Linked DNA regions of Arabidopsis thaliana. The protein of the gene in region 2 interacts with the protein of the main gene of each other region in a pairwise test. Each region holds a gene or a part of one and is shown on either strand. Other genes may lie near its edges.

What was found.
Region 1: the proteins of CRF1 (region 2) and ARR7 interact in a protein complementation assay, tested with the Arabidopsis thaliana proteins (one study listed by BioGRID).
Region 3: the proteins of CRF1 (region 2) and RR12 interact in a protein complementation assay, tested with the Arabidopsis thaliana proteins (one study listed by BioGRID).
Region 4: the proteins of CRF1 (region 2) and OFP13 interact in binary tests that used the Arabidopsis thaliana proteins (3 or more experiments, as listed by UniProt).

What each region holds. Positions count from the first base shown.
Region 1 is NC_003070.9:6,575,625-6,581,340, reverse strand, and holds ARR7 (response regulator 7), read left to right. Parts: upstream 1-2,026; 5' UTR 2,027-2,262; coding exon 2,263-2,410; intron 2,411-2,540; coding exon 2,541-2,617; intron 2,618-2,836; coding exon 2,837-2,914; intron 2,915-3,007; coding exon 3,008-3,078; intron 3,079-3,175; coding exon 3,176-3,422; 3' UTR 3,423-3,508; downstream 3,509-5,716. Other genes in the region: AT1G19040 (NAC (No Apical Meristem) domain transcriptional regulator superfamily protein), read right to left, coding at 3,928-4,446. UniProt on the Arabidopsis thaliana protein: Functions as a response regulator involved in His-to-Asp phosphorelay signal transduction system. Phosphorylation of the Asp residue in the receiver domain activates the ability of the protein to promote the transcription of target genes.
Region 2 is NC_003075.7:6,792,882-6,799,018, forward strand, and holds CRF1 (cytokinin response factor 1), read right to left. Parts: upstream 3,518-6,137; 5' UTR 2,913-3,517; coding exon 2,049-2,912; 3' UTR 1,749-2,048; downstream 1-1,748.
Region 3 is NC_003071.7:10,722,984-10,730,447, forward strand, and holds RR12 (response regulator 12), read right to left. Parts: upstream 4,290-7,464; 5' UTR 3,979-4,289; coding exon 3,852-3,978; intron 3,572-3,851; coding exon 3,419-3,571; intron 3,291-3,418; coding exon 2,916-3,290; intron 2,827-2,915; coding exon 2,750-2,826; intron 2,654-2,749; coding exon 1,670-2,653; intron 1,582-1,669; coding exon 1,507-1,581; 3' UTR 1,318-1,506; downstream 1-1,317. Other genes in the region: PKL (chromatin remodeling factor CHD3 (PICKLE)), read left to right, coding at 61-193, 267-340, 421-780. UniProt on the Arabidopsis thaliana protein: Transcriptional activator that binds specifically to the DNA sequence 5'-[AG]GATT-3'. Functions as a response regulator involved in His-to-Asp phosphorelay signal transduction system.
Region 4 is NC_003076.8:1,396,908-1,402,671, forward strand, and holds OFP13 (ovate family protein 13), read left to right. Parts: upstream 1-2,487; 5' UTR 2,488-2,777; coding exon 2,778-3,560; 3' UTR 3,561-3,877; downstream 3,878-5,764. Other genes in the region: AT5G04830 (Nuclear transport factor 2 (NTF2) family protein), read right to left, coding at 5,387-5,525, 5,615-5,724. UniProt on the Arabidopsis thaliana protein: Transcriptional repressor that regulates multiple aspects of plant growth and development through the regulation of BEL1-LIKE (BLH) and KNOX TALE (KNAT) homeodomain transcription factors.

The DNA.
Region 1 (5,716 bases), on a different chromosome or scaffold from region 2:
TATGAGAAAAACAGTATATTTATATACGATAATAATATTAGTCTTGAAAAATAACTAGTAATATCTTTGGTATTTTGGTCATCGTATCTTGAGATTGTAAGCAAACTTTGTAAACAAATCAGTACGTGACTATATGATGAAGCATTATTTATTACGAAACCAACAAACGGAGAACACTTTTATATATATTTTAGCGTTGTTATGACTATAGTGTTTTTTCTCCTCTTGTAGCTATCGTGACTATATCATCAATAGTCCGTTTCTATTATTCAGGAACTGTTCGTTTATGTTTAAAATCAAATTATTGACTTCTAAAAAATAACTGAATACATGAAAGACTTTGGTGGTTGTGGTTCGTTTTTTTAAATTGGATTTAGGATTTTCTTTTCATAAATCTTAGGTACGGAGCAAATGGATGACTGTCTCTTGATTTGTTTATTTTATTATTCAAAATGTATGCAAAGATCTTGATAACTTGAAACATAAGACATTAAAATCTAGGTGGAAAAAAACATTTGAAAGCAAGTTTGTTCCATATATAAATTGCAATGAAAATAAGAAAATGTGAAACATATTGATGGTTTTTTCCTTTTCCTTTCAGTAATGTTCTTATCACCAATGTTTTGTTTGGCACGATCATCAAATGTTTAGACATGTGGATCAACATTGTAATAATTTTCTCTTCAAATGACTGACTCTTTTTTTTTTTTTCAAAATAATGTTTTTCGTAAGTGTTAGGTGTGAAGACCATCATGTTTTTGCTAGATTCTTGTAGATCTCAACATTGATATTTGTAGATATCTATCAAATCGTTACAAAAAGTTTGCTAGATTCTAAATTAATGCTAAGAAACCAGTTTTCTTTACAAAATGTTTTTGTCAATGTCCTCTCACAATCGGCTAAAAGATGTTACAAACTATAAAGGATCCTCCTCCACAACTTTTGAAGATTTTACTCTCTCCAGATTTTGTCCAAAAAGGACTCACAAAATCACACAATGATGGTCAACTAAAAAAAATCACTAAACAACTTAAATGAAATGATGACAAAACTATTCCCTTTTGTTGCAAAATAAAAAAAAAAACCTTTTAAATCTGCAAAGAGATCCTTATATGATATGGCTGTTGTCCTGGTATTATTTCTCCAATTTAATTTAGGAATTTCATGTTTGACACTTATTTAGGGATCGTATAATATACGTTTTTTAATTGATTTGAAACCAAATAACATGTACTATTGCCTTAGTCCTCTTGCAATTCGTTTAGAAGATGTTATGATTGAGACAAAAGGATCCACCCGCAATACTTTGTCCATATTTTTCTCTCAAGATTTTGTCCAAAAGCAAAAGAGACTCACAAATCACACACAATGGTCCACTAAACAGAGTGCCTTTATTGCATACAAAATTCAATCAATTTAATAAAGGAAACTCAACTGAAAACGATGACAATAAAAAATAAAAAATGTCCCTTTTGTCTTTAAATAAAATAATAACCCTTACTGACGTAAAGAAAATTAAATTAAGATAACCTTGTAAAATACTTCTTACCCAAATTAAAAAAGAAAAAAAAAAAGACAACAAGAGGATTAAATTGTATTAGTATCACCATCATACCATTACACATAAATAAAATTTAGTAGAGTATAAACGAATCACGTGTATAGGAAAATACAAAATACAATGTTGAAGTTAAAATGAATATAGAAGTAGATTAATTGAGCAATAACCACCGGTTTTAGATCATTGATTGATATGTAAGTAAAATGCAAAGTAGTAGCCGACTTGGCAAAGAAAAAGAAAAAAGAAGAGAGAGAGAGGTAAAACTAAAATAAAATTACTAAAAGCAGAAGGAAAGTTCCAGGTCACGAGGGAGTAGTCGCTGTCGGATTGAAAGAAACAGACCAAACAAAGATCTTTGAAATCTTAAAAAAGATTCGGTGCCCAAAGATTTTGACCTTTGAAGACACATTTGATTATTTGTGTTTTCTGACACTTCCCAAACACATAACATCAACACTTGACCCATTTTTAAGATTTTGTTTCCTCTTCAAAGATCTTACCCCGCAAGATCCGATCTTCCAAATCTCTCTCTATCTACTATACTAGTACTTATTAAACCCCACCACCTCTCCCTTCTTATTTATGTCACCTAACCTAACTTCTTCTTCTTTCATTTTATCACATTCATTTCCTTTGTCTTCAATCCAAAGCTTTCCTCTTCTTGGAACCAATCTGCTCTCTTTTTTATTCTGAGTTTGACAATGGCGGTTGGTGAGGTCATGAGGATGGAGATTCCCGCCGGTGGAGATTTGACTGTTACTACTCCGGAGTTGCATGTTCTTGCCGTCGATGATAGTATTGTGGATCGTAAAGTCATCGAGAGGTTGCTTAGAATCTCTTCTTGTAAAGGTAAAAACTCAAAACCAATCTTTTTCTGCTCTGTTTTTGTTGGTTTTAACTCTCCTCTGTTTTTCTTCTTCATTAACAAACTCTCCTCTGTTTTTTAGTTACAAGTGTCTTTTTTTTTTTGTTATTTCAGTGACGACTGTAGAGAGTGGAACTAGGGCTTTGCAGTATCTTGGCTTAGATGGAGGCAAAGGGGCTTCTAATCTTAAGGTAATTAAGAATAAATCTTCCCTCTTTTGCTATCTACTGAGAAGAACTCTTGTATATTTAGGAAAGACCGAAGGAGTGAAACCTTTGCAACTTTGGCTTTGGCTATTGCTTCTTCTTGTCTTTATGATCAAATGAGATTTAGAAATGAACTAGTCTAGTTAGTGATTTATGTGTTTTGGTATTAAGATTTGATTTTGTTTGTGATTTTCATCATAACAGGATTTGAAGGTGAATTTGATAGTGACGGATTACTCAATGCCAGGACTTTCAGGATATGATCTCCTTAAAAAGATTAAGGTAATAACAATAATAATGGATTTACCAATCTGAGAAAGACTTAAACAAAGCTTTTTTAATGCTGCTTATACAAAACTCCATTGATATGTGCAGGAATCTTCAGCATTCAGAGAAGTACCAGTAGTGATTATGTCATCTGAGAACATCTTACCTCGTATACAAGAGTAAGTACTGATTGTGTAATGTGTAGTGATACAGATGGGATCATATTTGTGTCTACACTGTGATCTAAACTTATCGACTTCTTCTTCTTGTTTTTAGATGTCTCAAAGAAGGAGCAGAGGAATTCTTGTTGAAACCGGTGAAGCTAGCAGATGTAAAGCGAATCAAACAACTTATAATGAGGAATGAAGCTGAGGAATGCAAAATCTTAAGCCATTCTAACAAGAGAAAGCTTCAAGAAGACAGTGATACATCATCATCAAGTCATGATGATACTTCTATCAAGGACTCTTCATGTTCAAAACGAATGAAATCAGAATCTGAAAACCTTTTTTCTCTACTTTGAATTATATGTATAGAGGCCAAGACCTTAGCAAAACCATTCTGTTAATATTCCTCAAGAAAGACAATGTTTGAGAGAGTCATCACACTACTCATGATGTTGCTTAAACAAAACAAAACAAAAAAGAGAAAAGAATCAAATGTTAGGTTCACACTGACTTACACCTCATGTAAATTCTTCAATGCTTGCAACTCAAGCTTAGGATGCTCTTCTCCCGGAAGTATTGGTCTATCATCAATCACGCAGGAATCGTTTTTCAGGTAAGTGAGTCTGCAAACCGCCCAAACAGGATCCGAAGACAATTGGAATTCTTCTACTTTCCACCCGGTCATTGAGTGGACACGCCCCACATCGAGATTGAAAGAATATCTTGTTTTAGTTCCCAGAACATTTTTCTCTATGTCATTATCTATGATTTGTGTAACAACACCATTGACCCTCCATGTTTTCTTCTTGCCCCTGAGGTAGAACATCAAATTCAGCTTTTCACGACGAGACGAACACTTTCTCACAAAGTAGTACCATTCACTGTCCTTGTAAAAAGGAGATCTAACATGTTCAAGAAGCCATGGCTCCATGGCATATAGCTCTCTCTCTCTCTTATGAAGCAGCTGAAGTCTGGTGAATGGGCCTTTGGAGTGAGGTACAAAGAGAGTAGCTCTTGATCAGTCGGATGAAATCGGAATCCGTAAGTAAAGACACTTGGTGGGACGTTCTGACCAGAACTCAGAGCATCATGTATCTGCTTCAACACATCCCATTTCAAGCGTGGATGTTCAAACCCGTTCAATCTAGGCTTATCTAAGTACTCATTCCCGAGGGGGTTTTTCTTAACAAAGTAATACCATTCATAGTGATTGTAACACGGATCTCTCACATGCCCAAGTACCCACGGATCCTTGTCGTACAAGTCTATGGTTTTGATAAAGCAGCTGAACTCCGGCGATTGTGTCTTCCGCATAAGGTAGTCTGTCACTTCTTCATCAGCTGGGCGAAATCGAAACCCGCGTGTTAACACCTCTGACATTTTTGCTTCTGATCCAAGAAACGAGAAACCAAATTCATCAAACTCGATCTCTAAAAACAAACAGTGATCTATTATTCTAAAAGAAAACCCAGTAAAAGAATTGGAATCATGGTAATGAATATGATTTCTTCTAGCAGTAGAAACGGTGTGAAAGTGTAACAGAGACGAATATATGCTGAAGAAGAAGAAACTTGATTATGAGAGAACGAGAACTTACATGAATCAATGATCGAAGATTTCTTCTAGCAGATTAACAGAGAGACCCAACGACGTGAAAACTTAACAGATATGAATGTTCGAAGAAGTTTCTGCAAGAACCCCAATAACGAATTGGAATCTTGGTGATGAATGCTTGAAGCAGAAACTTGGATAACAAAGAACGAGAACTTACCTGAATCAATGATCGACGATTTCTTCTAGTAGAGAACAGAGACCCAACAGATATAGAAATTCTGAAAGAAACGCGACAAAGAGTTGGATAACAGAGAGATCGACAATTTCTTCCACGAGAGAACAGACTTCAAACAAACCGTGATAATCTAACAGAGATGAACGCTCGAAGATGATAAGAAAATTGCAATCTTGGTGACGAATTTTGAATGCAGGAAGAAGAAACTCGAATATTTGATAATTAATATCAATGTTCAGTGGTTTCTTCAAGCGTTCCTCTAAAGCGATCTTGGACTCACTCTGTGTTTCTGTTTCTTGCTGCCAACGGATACGCAACAATAACAATTACAATGTGTTTAAAGATAAATCCCCCTTCGCCGACTTCACTAATACTATCATTTGTATTTTATTCAAAATTATAATTTTTTAAACATCTTCACAATTGTTAAATTAAAAGGACTGTATATCATATTTAAGACTTTTATTTCCGAAATTATATATATTTCTAGGATATGTATTTTCTCATCATCGGACTCCTAGGTATTTCAAAGACTATGTAATACATATTTGGATTTATTTTGAAAACACACATTGAAGGAAGACTTTTTAAAAAAAAAATGCATCTTTTTAATACTATTTTTCAAAAATGTCTCCTCCATAGAAACCTTTTATTGTTTTTTTACTGAAGATGATTTTTTAATAAAAATATATAATTTAAAAGATTTTCCTTTTCCCCGATTAGCTTCGCCGGAATGTCTCCGCGTTCCGGCAAATTTTGTAATCCCAGCTATCGAAGTGGCTATTCCTTTATTGGGCTGTAATTCACTAAAAAAAAAAATCAATAAAAACAAAAGAGCACCACTGTTTTTTGGTAAGAAAT
Region 2 (6,137 bases):
GTGTATTATTAAATCGAAATATAAATCACATTTTAGATAACACATTGGTGTTATTATATGAGCTAGATAATTGCAGAGACTCTTGTCCTATTTGTAGCTCCTCCTTCATTTCATTGACCAGAGATTCAAAACTCTCTAAAAACAATTATTTTTAATAGGACATTTTAGCCGTTTTTGTTTGCTCCTCCTACATACTGTTCAAAACTCTTGAAAACCTTTTTTTCCAAACGGACAATGGACCATGGGCTTACAAAGACTTCACGTTTACTACAATACAAACGTACGTGAGTAGATTAAATTTTATACTTTGGACTTGTCACTTGTAAAACTAAAAACCAGACTAAACGGTCCTAGCTGGTCCACATCACTGCCACCAACAATCCAACATGTCAACACAATCCCATAAAAATGAATGTCGTGCTCTCTTATGGGCCTTACCATTTGTGTGGGTTTTGCAGCTCTCAAATCACACTTGAAAAAGACGCTCAACTTCAACTAGAACCTTTTCTCCCTTTTTGAAATTAACACTGACAATGATCGAAATCCCTTTAACTTTGGTCCAATATCTCTATATGATAAGTCACAATGTTACGATGAAATCTTCAGTCTTCGGACAATAAGTTGATTAATGTTTCAAGGTTTCTAATACTAGCTAGGTAAGAAAAAAATAAATAACAAGTGAAGTGCATAGGAATGACACGAGAAGTGTACGTGAAGAGTGAAAACATTCAATAAATTTGTGAGTGAGGATAAATATAAGATTCTATCTATCTATCTCGTGTATTTAATGAGCACTGCAACATTTCATGAGACCTATTGTTATACTAGTCGTCCTCTACGTATACACTACGCATATCTTGTTTACCATTTGAACATTTATGATTTTTACCTCATCATTAGTAATTTATTAGACTATTGCGGTAGTTATTACAATGTCTCACATTGTTTGGGATTAAAAATTTTGGGCATTACATAAAGAATGTAACAATCATTAATTCTTTAAGTAGTGTTTTGGTTAAGTTATATCACATTCCTAATATAGTATCAGAGCCTATGATTGGCCCAACAGACAAATTCCGACAAAAATGGTTTTCCACTTATATAGTCCATACAAGTAGTATGTCTTGTTGTATTTCCGAGATGTTGGACTTGGACTGTTTTTCGTTGGACCGTTTCCCATCTATATTTCAAAAACGCGTATTAGAATATCCTACATCGCTTCAGATTAAAATCTTAGACATAATATAAAAGATATAGCAATCTTTGACTTTTGAGCTAGCTTTTGGATTAGTTAGATCACATTTCTAATAATGGTTATTCCTCGACTAGACCGACTTGATTTTAATTTGTTCGTATATAGGAATGTATGCTCTATGAAAATAGAAATTGTCAATAAAAAAGCTGCCCATTATAAGACATGTCACAGGTATAGAGACTTAAAACGGAAATAGAAAAAGTTACTATAGAGTTAAAAAAGAACAAAAGTTAAAGTACTACTGTATTATAGAAGTTTTTCCACACATGTAGCTTTCTTAAAGTTCAAAATAATATGAGTTGGTATGAATCAAATTCATTTTTTTGCATAGACACTTGCCAGGATTCGATTCTCCCCCACGTGTAATTCTAAAACATTTGCTCCAAAAGTAGAACAATTATGGTTTGCTAATATTGCTATTTGTCAAATAAACCCAATAAAAAGAAAGATTAACCAAAGCTTTTCACAAATTCGGTGATTCCTCGTCACGTGAGACAACACGTGATACGTCAAAAGACCAAAAGAAGAAAGAAAAGTAGTAAAGCGTGAAGAAACTCGTGCGTGTTTTGCCTCCACGCCGTTCATATACAGACGTTACTTAACGGCTAACGCCAAAAAGTTCACCATTTACCATTAGTTTTATTTAAAAATAAAATCACCATTAATTAAGTTACAAAAAAGTTTAATATATTTAACAAATCTTCATTCAAAAAATAAATCGCCGTTTTTTTTTAATCCTCGCCGTCGCCGGTAACAAAACTTCACTAAACGCCGTTAAACGGCCAGTTATTTCTTAAACAGTTAAGACAGGATCCGACCCGAATAAATCCCCAATATCTTGAAAATGGTCCTCAACGTGCCAGCTGGAGAATCCAGACCCAGACCCGAATCCAAACCCGGATCCAAAACTCATATCCGCAAAAAGATTATCTCCAAATAAATCGCCGCCGAAACTTTCACTCATCGACGTCGAGAAACCAAAAACGTCGTCGTCCGAGAACAACGGCGCCGAGAAATCTGAACCGTTAAAAGACGGCTCCTTTTTAACCACAATCTCCGCCGTCGATACACCGACAAACTCCTCTTTAACCGCAGTAGACTCGCCGGAGAACGGAGATTCGAGAACAGAAACCGGCGAACGAAGACATTCTCCACCGCCAATGATAAAATCCGAAACTCCTTTCACCTCCGTCGAAGCTTCTTCAACATTCTCCGTCACCGGAGGAGGAGGGAAGTTAAGCTCTGCGTTAGGACCACGTAGCTGAATAGCTGCGTTATCGTAAACAATGGCAGCTTCCTCCGCCGTGTCAAAAGTACCTAACCAAACCCTAACACGTCTACTCGGATCTCTAATCTCCGCCGCCCATTTTCCCCACGGTCTTTGCCTCACTCCACGAAACTTCCTCGTCGCCGTCGTAACAACCACTGGAACAGTAACAACGCGCTTCTTTCTCTTCTTCTTCATCGGCTTCTCTTTATCAGAAACCACCGAATCAAGCACCACTTCCTTCACGTACTTCTTAACACGACGTCGTTTTGTAGATAATGCATCAAAATCAACTTCTTCTTCTTCGTCGCTTGACGAATCTGTTGCGTAAGGATCAGTAACAGAGATTCGTAAGATTCTTGGGAGAGAAACTTTCTTCTCTGTCTCCATTTTTTAAATCTCTCTCTTTAAAACTGTTGTAATAGTTTTAACTTATGTGTGTTCTTCTTTGTGTCGTGTGTTTATATATAAAGACCAAAGTTAGGAAAAGTAAAGGGCAAAAAAGGAATAAAGAGAGAAAATTGGTAAAACAAGAGATTGATGCTTTGTAACAAGAAGATTTTCCCGGGAAAGTTGAAGAAAGCAGAGAGCTTTTTTAATATATGCTTATGGAATCAAGAGTTTGGTGAAGGAGGACACTAAAGAAGGAGATGCTTTTTTCTTATTTAGGGATGAAATTTCTTTTAAGAAATATTCCTGGGAATTTTTTTTTGCAGCGAAAAGAAAAAGTTTAGAGCAGAAGAAAAGAGTGACAAAAGATGAAGAAGAAGATAAAGAGAGAAGCAGAGCAAAACATGTAAGTGAAGAGAGTGACTCTGAATAGAACAGAGACTTTTATAGGATATTGAAACGGCGGTTGCGGCGTTTTACAATCCTTTTTTTTGTCATTAAGGGAAACAAAATTTGTATTTAATGACCTTGGAGGATGCGGTTTTAGTCTAACCTTTGACCTTAAGAATTTAAATAAATAGCAGTAATCAAGGGTGGTTAATAAATCTAATTAAATTCTTAAAACCTTTCTACGAAGAATCGCTCTTTTTCGTTCAACGACAGGGGTGTTTTGGTCATTTGCTAACTAAGTAAAAACAAATTAGACCGTTGCGGTGTGCAGGTTTTTTTTTTACTTTTTTACCTTTTTAGCAGTCTCTGGTCTTTTTCTACAGCAGGTTTCTGACGTGGCAGAGACGACAACATAGGATGTTACGTCAAAAAAAAACTAACTCCATTCGACTTGTGTGTCTTTTTAACGTTTTTTTGGAGTATTGATTAAATTTCTCTTGTTTTTGACATGAATATTAATTAAAATTTATTTTATTAAAGTATATTTTTGTCCTTTTTAACACTCTTTATAGAAAAACTCTCTTTTTCACTGCATATTTTCACGTGAGTGTTAAACCAGAGAAGAAACAAAGGCCTTTAATATATTGGTTCTTTTAACGTGGACCGTGTTTGGCTTTTTTCAAGATACGTTTTTCTACAAACAAAATATTAAAGTGTTGATTTGGCCAAAATTACAGAACACAGTAATATATGTGAAGTGAAATGGTAAACTCAAAAAAAAAAAAAAAAAAAAAAAAAAAAGAAATGGTAAACTCATTAAGCCACAATTATAACTTCCGAATCAAAATTATCAAGAAAATACAATCCGCAAAAAAAAATTCGTGATGTTATATACTTATATCTAATCACTTCATTTTTTTTAATCAAAACAACTAAGAAAGTAAAATAATATTTTATTAATTCTAGATTTAGAGAGATATTTTTTAAAAGAAAATAAACGCTATTATTCGGTGTTACTACAAACAAATGATACTTAATAGTGATACACATTTATTTATTTGTCTCATTTTTACTGGAAAGTAATTTGCTTTATAAGAATGAAGTATTTGCCTTATACCCTAAGGCCTAAGCAATATATGGATGTGATTAGTAACATATATGTTATGATTGATTTAATTTGAGGTATGGATGTTATATTCATAGTTAGCTTAAAAATATTGCTAAGTAAGAATTCATTTAAACTTTAGAGTTCGCGTTTTGTTGAGTATTAATGGTTGAGTTACAAGTTTTAGTTATCACTTCTGGAAACTTTATCTTACTATATAGTATTGTGTAAGAAAGCTCATCTTCTGTATACATTGGATGATATACTTATTCATGCTAAGCAAGAACTAAGAAAATAATTTACACAGCAAAAAATAATATTACAATTTATAACTATGTTGATAGCGGCAAAAGCTGAAATCTTTGTAATTCATCACCTTCACGGGGTACACACGACTCTACTAAAATAATTCATGTAAAATCTTGAGTCACCGATATCCACACGTGTCCCTTATGTTTAAATTTTAAAATGTGGATATTGCTTTTCCTAAATTTGGTTAGTATCTCTGACTAGTGACTATATAAACTTTTAGTTACTTATCTTAGCCGATTGGATAAATTTGGCTGACAAGTTTATAATAAAAAAAAAACCACTTCGTTTTAGTTTGTTATCTTGATGTTATTACATAGACAAATTGAGGTTTTGGCCTAAAATCATGTTAAAAAAGACATCAAATAAAACATCAAACCCCATTTTTGAAAACAAGTTAGCTACCCAATCATTTGAGAGTCCAATAAAAGTGGTAGTAATAGAAACTAGGTTTTCAAAGTTTCTTCGTGAGAATAAATAGCATATGATTAAAGGTAATGATGAGCCTTCTTCATGACACGAAAATAAAACAAAATAAGTAATGATGTGCCCTTGGTCCATGTAATATTATGATTATGACAAAATCATAGAGAAAGTTTTTTTAATAGCGGTAAATTACGATAATCGTAATAATGTATACTTAGGTTTTGAATAATGACTCAACCGCACATTACCGTGCGTTTTAAGTAGTAACAACTTTTTTTTAATATATATATATATATATTTTTTTTATTACTATTTAAACCACACCAGATTTTATCTGCAGTTGAACCGTACATTTTCATCGAAGCCTTAAAACATATTAGCTCACGTTATTGGGAGATGTAGCTATCGATATGGATTAATGGCTTAGGAAGTAAGAGTTTGATTAATTTTGAACCAAGTATAAGAAAAAAAAGAGACCGTACGGATAAATGTCGAAGAATATAAGGACAAGAGTTGGACGTTAGCTAGTAGGAAGTGGGCCTCACTTACCGCTCGCACCGTTAGTCCCGCAAACGGCGCCGTTCTCTCGTTTCGAGCCATCATCCCACTTGTTTGTTGTTTCATGTGACTTCTTCGTCTCGAGGCAAACTTGACTCTTCTTCACTTTCGCTTAATTACCCATTTGTCTGCCAACATCTCTTTTGGCTATATACTCATGAAACTTTAAAAAATCTTCTTATTTGTATGTTCGAAACTCCCTGAAAGTTTCAGTCTTCTTATGTATGACAAGAATCGCGAGAGACTATGCAATGAACCTAATCAAATATAACTCTTCTCAAGAAATGATATGAAAAAGATTCATGAACATAAGAGTTGGTCCTTGGAAAGCGACCTCTTCAAGTCTTCATTAATTAGACATTGATTCAGGTGCTTAGGAGTTAGGACAATGTAAATTAATAAACAAAGGTGGTGCTTAAGGCGGTCCATGACGTTGT
Region 3 (7,464 bases), on a different chromosome or scaffold from region 2:
GGTACTTACTCACATGTTTTGCGCTGAATTGTTTAACTTTGATTGAATCTCTGGTTGCAGGGACTTGGTGGCTCATCATCTATCCCTACTGAAGAACCAGAAGCTGAACCAAAGATCGCTGACACAGTGGGAGTGAGCTTTATTGAGGTTGATGATGAAATGCTTGATGGACTTCCTAAGACTGATCCTATCAGTAAGTTCCATCACAAGTTTCTTTATTTAACGAGTTGTTGATTCTAATGTGAGCTCTCTGAATCTCGCTGCAGCTTCAGAAGAAATTATGGGGGCTGCTGTTGACAACAACCAAGCGCGGGTCGAAATAGCTCAACATTATAACCAGGTAAGCTATGCTTTTTTCCTTTGGTGGTAGGCTAATGTCTAGAACTAGTATATCACACTAATATCTCTCCGGTTATTCAGATGTGCAAACTTCTTGATGAGAACGCTCGGGAATCAGTCCAAGCATATGTAAACAACCAACCACCGAGTACCAAGGTGAATGAGAGCTTCCGTGCACTCAAATCTATCAATGGTAACATTAACACAATCCTTTCGATTACATCTGATCAATCCAAGTCACATGAAGACGACACCAAGCCAGACCTAAACAATGTTGAGATGAAGGACACGGCCGAAGAAACAAAACCGTTAAGAGGTGGCGTCGTCGATCTGAATGTGGTGGAGGGAGAGGAGAACATTGCTGAAGCTAGTGGAAGTGTTGATGTAAAAATGGAAGAAGCCAAAGAAGAAGAGAAGCCAAAGAACATGGTCGTTGATTGACTCAACTGGTAAATCAAGATTCAAGACCCAAGGGGTCATGAAGTAGGAACTGTTGTATTATCTTTGGTTACATGTATGAGACTTATTCTTCCTTTTGTAAGACCTATCTTCTGCTTATGCAAACATTGGTAACATTTTAGGCTAACTTTGATATTCTTCATGTTTTCCTATTTTTGGAAAATCATGAAATTATAGTTTCTCAATCAAAGCTGTTTGGTTATGCACCTCAAGCTTTTTAACAGTGTGTGAATAGGTTCGATGAAGTCCGGTTATGTTTCCGGTTAGACGTCGTCTGTTTCAATCTAACTACTATTCTCAATCAAACTCAAAAACTGAACTAAATAATGTAAGATACAAACACAAGAATGTTATAATACAAATTTGGGTTGACTTTAACATAATGGTTTCGAGTGTACGAAGGAATCTTTGTTGCTTTAAAATTCGTCATCATCACTTTTTCTTCATAGACTTTTTCTATAGGGTTGTTTCTTCATAGGCCCGTGAATTTTGGTTTCATACACAAAAGGGACAACTATACATTAAAATAAAAAAGTAAGAAAGTTTATTTATGAATCCTTTTTTCTTTGTTGTTTTCTTTAATGGAGTCCTAAATTGCTAGAACCAGTGGGAAAACAAATAGTTTACAATTTTAATACACAAAAGATTAGCGAGAAAAAGAGACAAACAAGATGATGATATTTGATTTATGTCTAAATGTTTGTTCTCTCATATGCATGTTCTGAGTGAACTAAACCCTCCATATCCCAAATCTCCTCCAGACAAATCTCCCTGGCTCTGTTCCTGTCACATTCACAAAATCTTCATGTCAGAAATCACAATAATCTCCAAATCAGAATGGTTAATATTGGCAAAAGCTTTAATGTCACACCTGCTTCATCGTGGAGTTGACTATATCATCTAAGGAACCAGCATCTGCAACCATGAATCCACCACTCTGTAACTTCTGTTGGCCTACGACGAACCCTTCTTTCGGGTTACTACTACTCAACAGAGCCATAGCATCCGTGGATGGACCATAAAAGACTCCAGGTTGCACATTTGTGTTTGAATCGAAGTCCGTGTTTCTACAGAAAGCTCGGGGATTTGTTGTATCCAAGGCTGGAGAACTCAATGTATTGGCAGAGTCACAGAATGGTATAGAGTAGCTTGATGACACATTGTTCCATTCCAAGGGGTCGGGTCTAGAATGCGGTAATGGAGAGACATCGAACTGATGATTGATACTATTACTGTTATGTGCCGGGGGAGGAGGGTGAGTCGAAGAGGATACAGCATTTGACCAATGCTCCAAACGTTTATTGATCTGGTGTCCTGGGAAGCCTGGAGGAGTTGCTTGTGGGTGACCTTCTAGAACCACGACATTGTTATTAGGAGCACTGATGAGCGAGTTTTGTTGCGTAGAGAAGCTAGGAAAAGCCATGGAGGTCCCAGCAATGCTCTTGTTACTGTTCATGTTTCTACTTTTGTTGTTGTTTGTCTGAAGCTGGTCGAACTCTAAAGGCATTGGCAACCCTTGAAGTATGTTTCCTCCATCACTGTGGTTAAGAGGAAGTGATGAGACATGGTGAAACTTTCCGATATCGGTCTGGTTTTGCAAGAACATTCCTGCAGGAGGAGAAGAAAGGCTGCGGACACCGATCCCCGAAGGAGTATTGAGTCTGCCAAGAATCCCGTTTGGAGGGAAAGATCTCATTGCAGGAGCCCCACCATGGTACTGACCAGATCCAACAGGGATTGGGCGGTGATGGAAACCATCAAGTCCATTCATTTGCATAAAATGTAACTCAGAGTTTGCCATAATAGCTTGCTGATTAGCCACACCACTGATCCTCTTCAAGTAAAGGCGGAATTTCTGCAAACCACAGCGAACAAAGTCATAAGCTTCCGAGGTGTTAAAAAACAAATCTTCGGGTTACGCAAGTTAAAAACATGAAAGATTCTTTGTAACCTGAAGATGACTGGCCACATTTTCTCTAGTGAGCTTCTCAACATTCATCAGATCCAAAATCTTTTTAGGCATAGCCTCTGCAATCAAAACAACACACACAAAACAGAACTTAAGTGACATACTGATAAGCTTACTCTCATATCAAGTGACATATTGATAAGCTTACTCTCATATCCCAATTGGTTAACAGCTGCAACAAATTTCTTATGCAGCTCAACAGTCCAAACAACACGTTGCTTCTTTTGAGCACACGAATCATCATTATCATCTCTATCCTCATCCTCATCTTCATTATACTGATCTTTACGTTTTCTATTACCTTTCCCATTGTTCTGATCAGAATTCCCAACACCTTCATTACCTGATCCATCTCTCTTATCACCATTATTATTACTCCCACGGTTCTTATCAAATCTACTTCTCACGACATGTTGCCATATGTTCTTCAACTCCTCAATACGAACCGGCTTCAGTAGATAATCACAAGCACCATGAGTAACTCCCTTCATCACATACTTTGGATCACTATGCGCAGACAACACTGCAACAACAAGAAAATCATCATCACAAAACCAAGTCTAGAGATCAAAACTTTATTCCTGTAGTGAGTCATTAAGGAAATAAATGACAAAAGTTTAATTAGAAAATAATAATAATAATAAGACTTACTTATGACAGGTAGGTCCATTTCAAGACCAACAAGCTCAAGGAGTTTGAAACCATCCATGTCAGGCATGTCAACATCACTAATAACCAGATCAAACTTGTTCTTGTTCTCTCTCAATAACTCTAAAGCCTTTTGTGCTTGGTTCGTCGTTGTTACTGCAACAGATTCCATAAAGTCTTAAACTTTTAATTCAATTCAACAATGAAACTTTCTCTCTGACAAATGTCAAATCTTACAAAATCTAACAATGGAATAAAAAAAGCTAAGTTTTTTTTAGATTTGTGTATACAAGAAGTTAGGTAGATAGATATCAAAAGATTCCACCATATGTGGATCAAATCACAGATCAAAGAGACATAAAATCTAAAAACTTGATGAAAAACAGATCCAAGAAAACAGAGAGAGAGAGAGAGAGAGAGAGAGAGAGAGAGGAACCATGGTATTGGCAGTGACGAAGGAGAGATTCAAGGATTTTGAGACAAGTTTGGTCATCATCAACAGCAAGAACTCTCATTCCTACAGGAAACTGATCCAAAGCTTCTAAATTTTGTTCAACAGTCATCGTTTTTCAACAGACCCAGAAACGAAAGATTGGATTTTTAATCTTTTTTGCAAGTTGAAGAAAGAGAGAAAGTGGGATGTGCAAGAACGTCGATGGAGAAATGAGTTAAAGATTAAATATGTGAATGGGGTCTAGAGAGAGAGAGTAGTAGTATATAATATTTAGATTTAGAGAGAGAGACAAAAAGATTTTTCCAGCAGAGTTAAAAAAAGGAATCTTCTTTAGCTCTTCTAGCTATCTATAAATGGCTATGGAAATTGTGTGTGATCATCTTCTTAACACTATCCACTCTTTTTCTGCAATTCTTTTTTTTTTCTTTACATTACAAAACAAATAACATTTTATTGAGAGACTTAGAAAGAATCTTTGAAACATAACCAATTTGGTTTAGTTTGGTTTGTTTTGTTTTGTATGGTTTCTTTTAAACCAAACGGAATAATAAACTCAATTATACGAAAATTCGTAATTTTTAAACGAAACTGAACCGAAATGACTAATATTTGTCTAGTGGTTTTTGTTAAAGTGGTGTTTTAATGTCATTATACCGAATCAAAATCCGCATATTGTACCGAGTTTAAACCGTTACAAATTGAAGTGAGTTGTTTGATTTTGGTGAGTAGTCCCTACACTTATATATAAGGATTTCCACCCTAAAAGAAACTTGTATCCCTATCCTCAGGTGATATATAATACACCATTTTTTTTAGGTTTATCAAAAATTATCATTTGTAGGACCAACCATATATTGTACACTGGTTTAGTGACTGAACCGGATTAGTATTATTGCCACTTCCTCTCTCTAGTCTAAAGACTTTAAAGTTTAAACTAATAAAACACACTACTTGTTTGCAATTAAATTGTGTTAAAAAGTAAAAACCAGGTAAAATAATACTTAGGTGTTATTTGAATGGGGGAAATTAAAAAGTAATTATGTTAGAGATAGGAAAGTGTTTAAGTAAAAAGATTTTGGTTTATACTATCATTTATATCGCATCATTATTGTGGAGATACATTTTGATTCTTGTTAATCTAGTATTGTCCAACTGTTAAACGGACAAAAAAAATTAAATTATTTCCATAATGTCAATCACTGTTAAATACTTTCCTTAGCATTTGTTTCAGATTTAAACCGATTTACTAAAACGATTTTTGTAAAATTTTGGGTTTTAAATATATTGTAGTCACAGAAAAAAAAATCAAAACACCTAATTCGATTATTTCTATCATTAATTTAAATTTCATTTCTTATTTTTTAACAGTGTTTATATTAATTTGTTTGGTTGGATATAAGATGATAAATGGTTTTATTCCAGGATTTTGTATTAATTTACGAACCCCAAGTAGTAGTGTTAAAACGGTCTTTCTTGTTGGAGAAGACCCTTCATTTTTTTTAGCACTTGTTTACCTTCGTGACTAATTTTTATGTAAGTGTGTTTCTTGAGAAAAGTGTTTTAACTTCACTTTATAACATATGTATCAGAGAATCTCGTAGCATTACATGTAACTTAACTTCGGCAAGTCTTGGTGTTAAACTTATTATTATCTTATATATAGATTAAGCCATTCTAGCTGGTTTCTAAGGAGATTTGTCCCAAACTCGAAAACGGACTAAACAATTTTGATAGATAAGACCACATCTATCTGATATCCAGTATTGCTTTGATCGCGTAATCGAGGTCTAGATGAGGTAGTAAGTAGTAACCCTCTTTCTCCTATAAGTTTTTAAGGTACTTCACGAGGTCTAAGATATGTCCATTCATGTAGATAATACATATCTGTTTACTGTTTTTCCCTTTTCTCCTTTCATGCACTGATGTACAAGCAAATGATAAAATTGACTTAGCAAATCAATTGTAGAAACCATAAAGTAGCCTATGTTTTTTGTACATACTCTTAAAATCGACTATATCATTATTCTTAGAAAAACGCTATCGAAATATATGATAACGTTAAGAAAAACGCTCTAAAATATATGGTACAAAAGATAGTAAACTGACAATTGCACTCGGACTCCACTGATATCCAAATCGTAACGGTATCTGGTATTCAAATTTTAGCATCCTTTTGATCTTTTTCCAAAAATATAAACACTATGTCTCTTAATTACATCTTGACTTTATTTTTCACTATAATTTGGCATAGAAATGATAGACTGTCGTGGATCATTTTTCCAGCTCGGCGTATAAGAAAACAATTTTTTTCTCATAATCGTCTTAGCTTTCGGCATGGTTGAAATTATTGAATTGATCGATATTAGAGATATCGTCCCACGTTGAAAGTTTAGTAGGAACTTAAGCAGTTATATATAAGATATAAGTCTCTTTACTCATTCCCGATTGATTTTGAGTTGGAAGCCCATAATCTAATATGGTATCAGTGTCCGATCTGCATATAGTCAACCCAATCCACATCGGTCCACTAATCTATGCCCAAACATATCAAGACTAATGGATAGAAAAGCCATCATTTAGAAGGATCGTATTAGAGATATTGTCACATATTAGAAGTTAGTATAATCTTAAGTAATATTTATAAGATATAACGTTCTTCACTCATTACCAATTAGTTTTGAGTTGGAAGCTTATATTTTGATAGAAGAATCCTTTGAATTTACTATTTTTGTGTTCTAATACTTCCGTGTCAACTGTTGTTGCGTAGGAAAACTTGCCTCTCAATGGATAAAGTAAGCTCAAAAGTTTTGTTATCGCCTTAAATTTGAATTTTATAAAATCACACCTTTGGAAATTAATATTACAAGACCATACTTTAATTACAAGTAATCAGATTGATTGGAGTATGGTTTCAAAAACTACTATGAATATTCGAAAAGTGTATCTTGTGAAACAGTTTTAAATAGCTTTCTAAAAAAAAAACTGTTTTAAATTAGTTGACAAAACAATATTTTGGATTTTAAAAATGAGACAGGCTTTAGAGAGAGCAAGCATGCTTGAGATTGGGAAGTGCGTTACACGCTTGAGCGTGCATCAAAACTCTTTCTTTCGTACAGTTGCAGATTAAAATCGGTTCTTAAAATTATTTAATATATGTGATAATTAAATTAAAATTCGTATGGTAAAATTAAAATCAACGACGATATTCGTTTCTTTGACCTTTTTTTTCTTTTGCCATCGATTTCTTTTCACTTAAAAGTTTTTCTAAAAGAAAGAAAAAAAAAAAAGAAATCTTGAACTTTAAGTTTTCTCTTGCAAATCAAAGTTAAGAAAACTCCACATGTGCAAGTGCAAGAACAGAAAATGGAGAATTTCGAACAACGTTCTCTTGCAACAGGTGTTTCAATATGCGGTTAAGTATAGTTTTTCAAGGCAAAGTATTGTTTTTCAAAATCACAATATCTGTTAATAGTGACATTTTAAAAAATTCCCGAATGATTCGCAAAAGGTGTAATCAATACACCATAATCTCGCTTGTGGCATGTTGCTAGATAGCTTATACAGATCTATCCTCAAATCTTTTTGCTTTGCTATC
Region 4 (5,764 bases), on a different chromosome or scaffold from region 2:
ATGTTTCGAAGCTTGAAAAAGGTAGCATTTTTCTCATAAAACCTTGGACACTTCCACGAAACAAAATGCATTTATCTTGAGTTCTCTAGCTACTAATGATAATGCAAATAAATACTGAAGCTAAACAAAATGTAAACAAATTCTAAGCACAATATTGACCATTTATCAAATCTACCAACTTAAAAGTTAGTAAATATCAACATCAAAAATATTTGAGGTAAATTTCTTAAAATACTTTATTTAGTAATGGATAAAAAACAAAAAAAGTTTAAATCACCGTGGAAGTTGTTGAGAAGTTACTTCTAAGATTTCTTACAACTGTGCTTGGCATTTATTATTTCTTACACAGTTAAAACTCAAGTAGAATAATTATACTAATGTCGGTCTTTAGCAAGGGGATAAAAGAGGCATGTCCAAGATGTTCATGTATTATAATTTCGGTTTTCGTTGAATTGTTGAAATTGTGAACAGTTTCATAAAACCAAGTAAGAGTATTCAAATAACTTTTTGTTAATCAACTGTATAAATAGGGAGCAAATTTAAAAGGATAATATGGCAAAAATGTCGTATTTGAACATAAAATTAAAAAGATGTAGGAACACTGTAGAGTATTCCAAATATTGCATGTTATAAACTTTATTTTTAGACATCTTCATTTGCAAACACGTTACAAGTTGAATAGTCTATCATGAACACTGTAGAGTATTCAAAGTACTGTAAATGAAAAAATGTAATTTATATATAGTCTAATGTATTTAAAAATTTAAACCATAGAGAGGAATATACTGTACTTTTGTAAATTTGGTCCCCTAACTAAAGATCTAGTAGTAGAAGATGGAAATCCACAGTTAATATATGCGTGATTCAACGGTGCCCTCTTTAATTCCTCACATGAGTTTTGCACACAATCTTTCTCTCTCTTTTTCTTATTCTATGTTCCCATATTTATCCCACAAACGTTGATCCAATATCTTACGCAAATTAAGGCAAAACAGGAAATTTTTGCAAAAGAGAAAGATATGGAGGTGTTGGGTAAATAAAGTTGAAAATGTACGAAAATAATGATGCATTTATTTCACAACAATGGGTTTCAACATCAGATTGCTTCTGTTTAAATCTTTTACTACTTTCAGTTTTATATCTCTGATAAACTCTATAATATTGACTGATTCCTAAAGGACACTGTCTCAGGATCTATCCCCTACATTCTTGTTCTACCTTGATGGATCATATATTTTACCTTAGTAAAGAAAATCGTCCAAGAAATTCATCATTAATTAAAAACATACATATAACATAGTCCTTCTTCGAATATAAGACTTCAATTCCTCAAAAAAAATTAAACGAAATAAATTATTTTTAAATATATATTCAAGAAACTGATGTTCATCGAGTTTAATTATTCAGTTGAATTACAATTCTTACTTTTAGAAATTTGTATTGCGACCAAGAAGAAACATTCTTTAAGCTCAAAGCTTCATATAATTTACACATACGTAATTTATAGATAACACGTTGACCGAGAGTATTAGAAGCTCACAGTGCTTATAGGAAAGTCAAAACTGACTGCATCAGTACGATTTTTACGTGTTCGTTTATGGATTATATAATACAAAATAGCTTATACATCAGTTTTAAAAAAATTAAACAAATTAATTAAGATGTAAAACACTATTAAAGTCGTAAAGAGAGAGTAATTAAAAATGAGAAGAAGATTTGACAAGACGAGCCAATAGACAAGAATGTAGTACCGTCAATCAACCTTTATAAAGTAGTAGTAGTATATAAAATTACTAAATGTTTATTGGGATTTGTTTTTCTGCAACATTTTCTTGTAAGCAATCGTTTTTAATGCTTTGTGTTCTGCACAGTGCTTTGTCATTGGCTCGGGACTAACATTTTTTCTAGTATTATTTTATTTTATTTTAATTAAAATATTTAATTTTTCTTGTCTTCAACCAAATTGAATGCTACTGCTGTGTCTTACTATACTTGTTCATGAGTATAATATTATCATCTTAAATTTAGATAACAAAGACAAAATAAAAATTCAAATTCCCATAGAGCCATTATATCGTGTTTGCATGAAACTTTTGTTAGTTAAAAAATACAAATTCAACCTCTCCAACAAGGCAATAACAACCCATGGAGCTAATAATATGTAAACTGCATGAGGATAAGTGTTTTCGTCACACAAGAAGATTGTCAATTTTTCAAAACAGCAAAATATTTGTAAAAAACATAATTCTTCCACTCATGTGTATATCAATAAAATCACAACGACAAAAACATTATTGTAAAATGTAGCAATAAACTATTTGTAAAAATAATATATCTCCATTATAAAAACATTTTTGTAAAATTGATCAATTATTAGATCGAATAGTGTAGAAAAAACCAATATTAAAAATTTGGATTGTAGCAAATCAAATATTGGAAAAAACTATTGAAATCCCGGTTGAACAGAAAACGAATCGAAAAAGCTAACCACAAAGCAAAACAAAAACAAACTATCAACTTCAATCATCGTAATTTTTATAGTTAAGACTTTAGACTAAATAAGTAAAAGCACTTCAAATAACTAACCAGAAAAAAATGGAAAATTAACAACAAATAGAAAAATATCCCAAAATTAAATAGACACATGACCTGACCCCACCAGCTCTCTCTTCTCTCCCCATATATCGCATTCCCTCCAACTCCTTCCTCTTCCATTAATTACTAAACCCAAACCCAACCAAAGATCTTCACAAAGAAAAAAACAATTGGTGGTATCAATGGGGAAGAAGAAGATGAAACTCTCTTCTCTGTTCAAAGGCGGAGCCGGAGGATTACTAGCGGTTCCTCTCTGTTACAATGCCAAAACTCTTTCGTTCCGAGTCGGCGACGACATGATCAAGACGGTGAACTCTGTTTTCTTCGACCACCACCACAACAACAACAATGGAGGAGATTTGTTGGAAGCGGAGACGCCTGAGTCATGGTTTACTAACTCGTCCGAGACAGCGAGTCACTCAACCGAGTCGGATCAAGACCTTGACGCTGAGTCCTTAGAGATGGTGGTTCGTGGCGTTGTTAGATCGGAGCGGTTATTCTTCGATCCAGGAGTTACGAGTTCGATTCTGGAAGAGATTGAAGAGAAATCGAAATCGGATTTGAAATCGAAGGAAACGGTTGCGGTGGGAGAAGATCGGAGTACGCCGATTGAGGAGATTAGTGTCGCGGTGGCGATGGAATCCGAGGATCCGTACGGTGATTTCCGGCGATCGATGGAGGAGATGGTGACGAGTCACGGTGAGTTGGCTAAAGATTGGGAGAGCTTGGAATCGATGCTCGCTTGGTATTTGAGGATGAATGGGAGGAAGAGTCACGGCGTTATCGTCAGTGCTTTTGTTGATCTTCTCTCTGGACTCTCTGATTCCGGCGCCGGAATAACGTCGGCTTCGGTATCGGATTCGGCTCGTTATTCAACCGCCGTTTCGTCTTTGCCGTCGTCGCCGGTTTATTCGTTATCTCAAGGTCAGACGGAGATTCAAGAGGAAGAGAGACGGAGCTGTTAAAAATAAAAAAAGGCTTAAGATTCGGTTTTAAATTTTTTAATCTCCGGTTTTGTTTAGATTAATTAACCCTTTTTGGATTTTGTAAAAAGTAATTAGTGGTTAGAGGAAAAAGAACCATTAAATATATATCAAAAATATTTTTAGAGCCATTATTGTTGATTTATGTGTATAACAGTGCCTTTTGTCATAACTCGAAAGTTACACTATTTTTCCCCCAAAATTCATGAAACTCAGCGAAGTTTATGCCAACAGATTCAGAGAAATTTTGTATAACAGCCCCATTTTAAAAGGAAATATACATAAGAATAAATTCTGTGATACTTCTTTTTATTTAAGCTCTTTATTTTTTACTTCTTTTTTAGGTTTTAAAGGACATAGAATTATAATTTCTCATTTTTTTTGCAGGCATATTATATAGCCTTTCTCATTAGATGTAGGCATGTAGCTCCTTTGGCATCCATATTAAAAATTTTTTTGTCACAAATATTGGACCTTACATTTTTTTTCCCCAAATAAAATTTGGTATTACGAATTTTCGATGGTTACACAAGGACTACTACACTAACATAAACTGTAAGACTCATTAAATATCATGCTCGGATAATTCATGTATTAACATTAATAACATAGAGATTTTATTTATTGATTTGACTCTTAAAAGCATCATCACGTAAGATATTTAGCAAAACCCTTTTTGTGATATCCATGCTGGAGTTAAAATCTTGAAAATAAGCGTAATAGAAACACCCGTAGTGTATGTATAAATGTAATTGTCATGAACTTATGAGATTCAAGTTTTAAAAATACAGAAAAGGATAGTGTATTTACGAGGGTGCATTAAAAGAGAATGTTGGTCTATAGTAACGTTTGAATTGAAATGTTACAAAAGAGATTTGTAATTTGTATTTTGTATTGTGAAGTGAATGGAGTAACATGAGATGAGCAATGGTGCTGTGGTCAGTGGTCACACACACACAGGCCCTGTGAATCCCAACATCATAGACCTACTCACTTCTCTCTTATCTCTTTTCATTTATTACTCTACATTTAATTTTGGGACCAACCTAGACGACGACGTTTATTTGTTTTTGTTTTGTTTGTTTTGTTTTGTTTCCTTTCTTTTCATAATTTTAGAGCTATGCATGTTCTCATTCCTCCTCAATTTCACAAAATTGATTTTTCTATAGGAAACACATATAACATAGGGCTGGTCCTCAAATATATACGAGATAGTATACAATTTGGAGTTTTTCAAGAGTACAGAAAAACTATAGCCAAATATTTGTAACAAATAAAAACACAGAACTGTGTCTGTCACAAACATAGCGTCTAACAGTTACTTTTACACAGCTTGTTTTCTTTGTTTCTACGGTACTTACAAAAACCAGAGTCATTTTTCGTCTTCTACAAGTATATAACAGGGGCCCAAACACAGTACATGCACAAAATCTAATATCTAAATACATTACGTCAAGCACGAGACCAAAAGTAAATGGATACTTTAGATTTGACAGTGAAGGCCCATTTGAGGGAGGTTCTTCGATCCGGCCCCACGTCGGTTTATTTTGATTTAGGATAATTCAAACCCAAAAGCTAACCAAAATCAGTATGGTTCAAGTTTGTTCAACTACAAGAATTTTCCATTCAAATTCAGTTATTGACTGTATCGTACCAGACTAAAAACCAACAGACGATTAACATACTGTATTACATATTTTTAAACTAAATTCGAAACCAAATCGATTAAAGGAGTTTCTTAAATTCAAGTAGTGTTTTGAAGAAACTGAACACTATAACATGATGTGTGTTTTGTATTTTCCATTTGTTCATTGGGAGTCAGGATCTTTACCAAAACCCATCATGGCATGAGTCGCTAGCATCAAGCCTCTTCGACCCATCTCCATTACCCGTCCGACTAATGGAAAGCTAACCGTGTCTCTGTTCCTCAGAGGTTTCTTGTCCCACCTTATACACACCATTCACCAACAAGTTAAGGCAATGAACTAATACAAAAAGTCAGCGTTTATGAGAAAGGTTAGCTGCAGGGTTATTACCAGTCTTCATGTCGAACGATCTTCCCGTCCTCGACATAGAGCTTAATGAGAGAGATCATATCTATGTTCCTTCCCATGATCTTGTAGTGTTGTTTGTTGTCAATTAGTATCTGTTTTTCCCACAAGTTGTTTATGTTATATTTAGATACT